Ovis aries: one gene and its partner. The protein of the gene in region 1 interacts with the protein of each later gene in a pairwise test. Links are inferred from orthologs where the notes say so. Each region holds a gene or a part of one and is shown on either strand. Other genes may lie near its edges.

Region 1 (4,209 bases):
TCAATAGCAAACATGTCCAAAAACTCTTTGCAGTATTTCTGCGTCAGTGGCATCTAAATTCCTGAAAACTGGCTTCCCTGGTGGCTCAGCGGCCCTAGCCCATGTGCCCTAGAACCCTTCCTCCTGGGCTAGAAGAGAAGCCATAGCAATGAGGAGCCAGCACGCCGTCACAACTAGAGAAAAGCCTGCACAGCAACCGGGACCCAGCACAGCTGAAAACTAACTAAAGATCATAAATTCCTGGAACTGAAAATAATTTGGGAAGAACCAACCCCTACTCCAGGTGGAAAAGGCTCAGGTCCAGACCTGCTAACTAGGCTTGATTAATAATATACACCTGACACAAACGTTGTAATTAAAACCTAGTCCTTCTAAAACATTAATCACACTTTTATCTAACTCACAAAATCAGTTACTTCTGCTCTTAACAAGAAACCTGAAACCAATCTCATGTCAACTATAGATTACGCTGCAAATGAGAACCAAATGAAAGGTGTCAGTCATTAAAGTTTTATAAGTATTAGAAAGTAAAAAACGTGGCTTTTACATAACCATAAAACAATGTATACACTGCATCTACACAGAGTTTCATACCAGCCCTGGAATAAAGAACTATATTTCTCCAGAAACAAAAATCCCTGGGACATATTTGCTATTGACAAAACCAGGGTCTGGATTTGGGTCCAAATCATTGTGATCTGATTGTGTTATCTAATCATAACCTGATCTGACATCGTTCTACAAAAAAAACTATCTCCCTTTCCTTGAAACAAAAAATGGATCATGCAACAACTAAGAACTCTCAGAAGAAATTTTAGTTTGAAAAAAAATCACTCTCTGTTGTTTTCAGGGATTTCACCAATAATTGAGGGCCATCCCAAATGCTCATTCTCTTTTTTAAAGAATCTGACCAGACCGACTCTGAAGTCATCATCAGACCAGTCACTGAACAGAAAAATCCAGGGGAAAACCCCTAACAGGGATTAGCCTGAACTTTATATTTCCTTTCCAGAGCTGGAAATATTTGCGTTTGGAAAGTCCCCCAGCAGAACCGTATTTGCAACACTACAATCCAGCCTCAGGTGTGAATTTAAACCGGGAGACGGGGCAGTAGTAGTGGGGAGAGCGACGAAAAGACAGAAGCGGGTGCACACTGGTCCAGGATCTCTGGAGCCCGCCAGCCAGGGGCACGGCCGGCAGACACGTCTGGCACACACCAGAACCACCACGTCGCAGGCCGAGAACAGAGCTTCGCGCTCACCCTTGAAGGTGGCACTACAGAGCCACCTAGGAGACACGGGCATTTCATTGAAGACTCAATGAGAGTGAATCAAGAAAGCCTGCGCTAATGCAGCTGCCAAAGCCTCCAGAGTGTGCGTGTGTGCGCGCGTGCGTGCGAGTGTTGCGGGGGCGGGGAGGGGGGTGAGGTGGGTGGGACAGGGGTGACGGTAACGCAAAGAACTGAAGCAGCAGAGTCAAGAGAAGATAGTGGCCTGGCCTGAGAGAGGAAGTGGCCCAGACTGAAGAGGTCTGGACCAGAGGGGAAGTGAGGGGACCGGGACCGGCAGAAGCTACGAGACTGGATGGAGGAATTAGAGGCTGAAGGAAAGGGTGGAGGCCGCCAGACAGAGGCAAGGGGGCGGGGCTGGGAGATAAGCGAGGGCGGGACAAGGTAGAAAACGGGGGGCGGGATGCGGGGGGAAACCAGTGAGGGGGCGGGGCTCAAGAGAAAGGGGCGGGGCGCGGAGGGGAGAAGCAAGGGGGCAAGTGGGGGGCGGGGGGAGAGAGGAAGAGCACGGATGGGGGAAGGGGGAGACATAGGTGGCGGGGGGGGTACCAGGAGCGAGAAGCCAGGGGGCAGGTGGGGGCGGGGGAAGACAGGGAAACGCCAGAGGATGGGAAAAGCTGGCGAGAAGAGAGGGGCGGGACCGAGAAGGAAAAAGAGAGGGGGCAGGTGAGGGGGGAGGGAAGAAATCGAGGGGGACGAAGGGGGTGAGGGGCGGGGCAGGAGGGGAGAAGCGAGGGGCAAGGGGGCGAGAGGAGCGAGGAGGCTGGCGGGGGACGGAAGAGGTCCAGGAGGGGAGAAGTGAGGGGGAGTGGGGAGGATGAGGGGAGATCGGAAGGGGTCCAGGAGGGTAAAGTGAGGGGCAAGGGGGGAGGAGCACGGAGGGAGGAGAGAAACGGAGGGGCAAGGAGGAGAGGGGAGCGTGGAGGATGAAATGGGGGGGACGGAGGGGGTCCAGGAGGGGAGACGCGAGGGGGCGGGGCCGGGAGGGGCGAGCGAGAGGCCCAAGTAGGGGGACGAGGAGGGGAGAAGGATGGAGGGAGTGAGACCGAGGGAGGCCAGGAGGGGAGACGCGAGGGGACAGGTCGTGGGGGGAAGCAGGGAAGCCGGGGGGCGGGTGGGGGCGAGAAGCGAGGGGGCGGGGCCGGAGGCGGGGGCGGGGCCGGGAGGGAGTCGTGAGGGGCGCCCGCCGAGGGGGGCGAGCCGGTCCCGGGACGGCGGCCGGCAAGGGGGAGGGCCGCCTCCCCGGGGCGCCCTGCGGGAAATTCCGGGGCTGCTGGAGGGGCCGTGCGGGCTGCGAGCGGGCGCCGGCGGGGGCCTCCTGCCGGCCGTACCTGTCAGACGGATCTTGATGCTGGAGCCGTTCCTCCGCGTCCCGGGGTTCGACATCTCCCGCCAACGATCGGGCAGCCGCGGATCCAGCGCCGCCGCCGCCCCCCGGCCCGGCCCGGCCCGGCCCCGCCGCCGCCGCCGCCTCAAGGTTACGGCTCCGGGCTGGGCGCCGGGGTCCGAGCCGGGACACAAACTCCGCGGCCCAGGCGTCCGGACGGCCGGCAGATGGTCGAGCCGGGGGATCGGCGCTCGACCCGGCGCCCCCGACCCTCGCTCACTCCCAGCCGAGCCCAGTCCGGAGCCGCCGCCGCTACCGCCGCCGCCACCACCTCAGAGCCGGACGCCCGCCGCCCTCGCCGCTTCCGCCGCCGCCGCCTCCCGGAGCCGCGCGCGCGCCCGCCGCCGTGCCGGCCCGGCCCTGCGCGCGCCCGCGCCGTGCGGCCCCGCGCCTGCGTGCGTGCGCGCGCCCGCGGGGACGGCGGGGCGGGGCTCGGAGCACGCCCGCGTCGCCGGCCCAGCCCCCGGGCGCACAGGGTCCCAAAGCCGGTGGTTGGGGCGTCCCGCACCGGGGCGGAGGAGGGGGATCGGAGGCCCTGGGGACCCGGCGCGACGTGCAGAGCCTCGGCGGCCGGGAGCGAGCGCCGGGCACGCCCCAGGGCGGGCGGGACGGCGAGGCCCGCGTGCGGGCTTTCTCGTTCTCCGCCACATTCTCCCACGGAGCCGGTTTGCATGCGGACGTTGAGGTTCAGAGAACGGCATCGATTTTCCAGGCCTCTCACTTAAGGCTCTGAGCTCGTGAGAGCTGTTGAAAGCGGGCTTACAGCAAACCGAGGTCTGTGACTACACCAACGACTTTGCACGAATAGGCGTGCAATTCCAGTTTGTTTATTTACTTTGAGTAAAGAGTGTCTTAAAAAATGCAATTCAAGGGAGGGACTTCTCAAAGAGACAAAGTCCCCTAGGTGTGTTCTGGGCAACTAGTGCTGTCTCTTGACCCGTAACAAAGTTGCCAGAATCGCAGGAAGTGCCATATATGGGCAAGGTAAATAAGATGCGAGAGGCGGATAAAGAGGTAGATGTTTTCACCATCCAGTCAACAGACACTTGAGCCAAACAGAAAGGTAGCTTTAAGGCCTGCGTTTCCCTGCCTTCTGCTAACACTTCTGCCAGAGTTTCAGGGTGGAACTAAAGCTCATTATGCTTTCTTCAGCAAACAAACCCCTCGTTAACCTGTTATAAAGAGGAAAAACGTTGATAGGGAAAGCTGGGTTTGTTTATCAGACTTGTCTTTGACCAACTACCTGGTTCTCTGGATGCCTTCTTTGGTTTGTGTCTTAAGGAAACCAGGCTCTGATCCCTTGCAGCCATCCCCTGCAGCCGGGGACCTTCCTTGTGGTCACAGTCTTCAGAATAGAGCCCTCTTCCTAGAGCCCCTTGACATGCCCACCTGCCCTTGCTGAGCTCAAGACTCGTGAGTTGGATTCAAGGCTGCCTCTCCCAGCCTCCATCGGTGACTTAAAAGGACAGACCTAGATCATTTCTGTGGCCCCTTGCAGCTCAGACTTTGAATGAGTCTAGTGAAATATCCAAGA
Region 2 (3,645 bases), on another chromosome or scaffold:
AGTGAGTGAAAGTCGCTCAGTCATGTCCGACTCTCTGTGACCCCACAGACTATACAGTCCATGGAATTCTCCAGGCCAGAATACTGGAGTGGGTAGCCTTTTCCTTTCTCCAGGAGATCTTCCCAACTCAGGGATCGAACCCAGGTCTCCTGCATTGCAGGCAGATTCTTTACCAGCTGAGCTATCAGGGAAGACCAAGAATACTGGAGTGGGTAGCCTATCCCTTCTCCAGCGGATCTTCCCGACCCAGGAATCAAATTGGGGTCTCCTGCATTGCAGGCGGATTCTTTATCAACTGAGCTATGAGGGAAGCCCCCATCCCCTGCAAGCCCCCAGAAACTTGTCAGTGTTCCCCATGCAGCCCTGGAGGGCTATGCAAGGGCCAACCCTTGGAACCCCTACTGCTCAACCTCCATCACAAGGTGACCCAGGCCCCATTGGGCACAATCTGAGCCCTGGACACACCACACTCTCTGATCAGCACAGCCTGCCCCCGGACATCTTTGCTGGCATTGTCCCTTGGTGTGATCTTTCCCTGGAAGAGACCAAGCTCCCCAGGGCAACTAGGCAGGCCTTCCTGTGTCCCCAGCCCTGGTGCAGAAGTTAGTTCAGTGGGTGAACACTGAGCCAGGACTGAGATATCCTGCCCTCTGTCGACACCTTCCCCCTGCAACACCCACACCCAGGCAGGCGTTCACTGGGGTCTCCCGTGTCAGGTTCCAGGTGGCCTTGGCAGGGTTGGGTCAGGTAGGGGCTGGACTACAGGGCGAGACAACACAAGGGGAGGGGCGCCGTGACTGAGAGGGGTCACGGGATCACAGGTGAGCCCAGAGCAGGTGAGGGAGCAGCAGGAACGGGGTGGGGACGTGGCCCCACAAGGTCGCTGGGGCCCCACGAGGGGCGGCTGGGCCTTTCAGGTGGAGCATGCCTCTCGGGGGTCCTGCCACTGGAGCCCCAGGCCTCATGGCCGCCTCTGTCAGGCCCCAGAGGATCAGAGATCAGACAAGTCCTGCCCGGGGAAGGGGCAGAGGTGCCCACCCACCCATCTTCTCTGATGCGTGGCAGGTGGCCCTAGCCCCACCGCCACCCCCAGCATCTCCCCCTTGGGGCAGAAGGAAGCTGGGTGGAGCCTTGGGCAGGTGCTTATCAAGGTTACCAAGAGACAGAAGTCAGCCCCGACCCTCCTGGAAACGGAGAGACCACACCCAGTCAGGGACGCCCATTCTCCTGGTCCATCTGTCCTTCCGGCTGCCCATGCCCTTCTCGCAAAGCCGGGTTAGAAGGAGGTGGGGGCACTGAAGAGGCTGGCAATGGGGCCAGCCCTGGAGAGGCTCTCGGGGATTCAGGGACCCAGGTCGCTGCTGGCAACTCTCACCCTCCCCACGCCCTGTCCCCTTCAGGAGGAGGAGGAGGACACCCTGGACACGCCAAGGCCTGCAGCTCCACCCATGGGCAGCAGGTGAGAGAACCCTAGGGGTGGAGTGAGTCAGGTAGAACCAGAGCTGGGGGGTGCCCTGAGGGGCGCCAGGAACAGGACACCCAGGAAGGATGCTCCGGAGCCTTACAGGACACCTGCGAGGTCCCCACGAGAAGCTCCCATAGAGCCCCCAGGATCCTGGCACAGAAGCCCAGGAGGCCCCACGGGCAGAGTGCATACCGTGCTCGTTGACCTGCCCCACGTTCTCCAGCAGCTCCGCCACAGCCACCTGCTTCTTCTTCTTGGGGTTGAGCTTCCAGTACATGACGAGGGCTGCCTTGCGCACGGCCCGCTCCAGGTCGGTCTCAGAGGAGAGCTGCCTCACTTCCTGCTCATTCTCGGAGGTGATGCCTGGGAGAGGGAGGCGTCAGAGGCCTGGGGTCGCCCACCCGCCTGCCTGGAAGCTGGCAGGGACGCCCCAGCCCCGGCTAGCCCCGCCTGAAGGGGCTTGGGAAGCGATTCCCACGAGTGGCTTTGCAGGCATCTTCGTCACCAGGGCAGAAACGAGGGTCCAGCCAGACAAGTGTCTGGCCTGAGTCCCCGAGGGTGGGAGGCTCAGCCTAGGCTTTCAGCAGATGCTCGCCGAGTGGCCGTGGAAGGCTGGCGCTGGGCAAGGCCTCCCCACCTTCCTGGCTCCTTCCCTTCCCAGGTTCCCCCTCACAAGGACCTCTCTGGTGGGGTGCTACTCTTCCCATCTCACAGATGGAGAAACTGAGGCACCCAGGGGTGGTGGTCTTGGTCTTGGCGCCAAGGCCACAGAGTCAGAGAGGCTGAGCTGGTCTCAAACCCCAGTCAGTCTCACTGCAGTGAGTGGCCAGGCTGCAAGACGGGGGGCACCCCTACACTCACAGCATCAGCCCTTCCGAGGGCAGCCAGAAGCAGTGTCCCCGCGTAGATGGCCCTTTCCCAGGGGGCAAGACTAGCCCACAGAAAGATGGGGAGCAGGTTTCATGGGCCATTTAGAGGCCGCCTTTCCCCCTGCACGTGGGGGACATCAGCCCGGCCACCCCCACCCCAGGGGACAGTGAGAATGGGGGTGGAGGACTGATATTTCTTTTCTCCTTTGGAGCATCTCCCTAACCTTCCACGGGAGTCCACGTTTCTTTTACGATCAGGATGCATTCAGTGTGAGAAGGTGGAGGGTGTGGGCCACGTGAGACCTGGCCCCCTCCCTCACACACCGGCCAGTCTCCAGGCCTGCCCTGGCCCCCTCAGGGCCTCTGGGAAGACCACTGGCTCCAACCGTGAATTCTGGGGGCCACACTGACTCAACTGGCCAAGGCAAGCCCATCCCACCTGCCCTAAAGCAAGAGAGACTGGCTTGGTAAGAAATTCTGGCCAGCAGAACATGACCGTTCTAAGTCATTAAAGCCATCAGCCTAATGTCCAGAGAAAGGAGATTCTATACAATAATAAATAATGTTAATAAATATAATTTCTATACATTAGATATACATACATAATAAATATATATACATAAAATAATGTATATAAATTTTGTTTTATACATATGTATATGATAACCCTAATGTTAAAAAAAAAAAAAATTCCAATATAAAACCAGAAGGAAAAATAGTAAACTACGGAGCACTTCTGAGTTTCGAGATAATTTCTATCTTTATGTTCTCTATGTAGTACAAGTTTTCTATAACAACCATAAACACTTCCGCAATCTGAGTGGGATAAAAAAGGCCCCCGTTATGACACACACACTTTCACCTTTCTTCTGAGGTTTGAACCTTCAGGAAACACTTTTCCCTGACACCAGGAATGAACCATTTCCCTTGGGCAGGATAACATAGTAAGTATCCCCAAGTGGCCAGGCTACACATCACTGTCCCCCAGCACCCACGCCCGTCCTGGCAGTGAGTGCCTGCCTGGGTGGGCCCTTCGCTGGGCCCCAGTCCCCAGCTGCTCCGCTTAGACCGGATGGAAAGTCAGTTCAGAAAGTGCTACTCCTACCTCAGGCCTGTCATGCCCTCCAATTTGGCTCCCTGGGCTATTCCTCAATTAGGATGAGAATCCAGATGGTATATCTCCTTGTAGACCCCACCACAAGTTAAAGAGGATGAAAATGGCTTTGTTCCCTAAATAGTCCATGTTATACTCCCAAACCATCTACGCGGAAAAGCCACGAGTGCAGCAGAAACCACTTACTTTTCCCCATG

Evidence for each region.
Region 2: the proteins of SMURF1 (region 1) and WFS1 interact in binary tests that used the Homo sapiens proteins (3 or more experiments, as listed by UniProt). The link is inferred for Ovis aries from reciprocal best matches to the Homo sapiens genes SMURF1 and WFS1.

Annotation. Positions count from the first base shown.
Region 1 is NC_056077.1:37,602,812-37,607,020, reverse strand, and holds the start of SMURF1 (E3 ubiquitin-protein ligase SMURF1), read right to left. Parts: upstream 2,936-4,209; 5' UTR 2,675-2,935; coding exon 2,620-2,674; intron 1-2,619. UniProt on the Homo sapiens protein: E3 ubiquitin-protein ligase that acts as a negative regulator of BMP signaling pathway. Mediates ubiquitination and degradation of SMAD1 and SMAD5, 2 receptor-regulated SMADs specific for the BMP pathway.
Region 2 is NC_056059.1:103,625,058-103,628,702, forward strand, and holds part of WFS1 (wolframin), read right to left. Parts: intron 1,829-3,645; coding exon 1,658-1,828; intron 1-1,657. UniProt on the Homo sapiens protein: Participates in the regulation of cellular Ca(2+) homeostasis, at least partly, by modulating the filling state of the endoplasmic reticulum Ca(2+) store.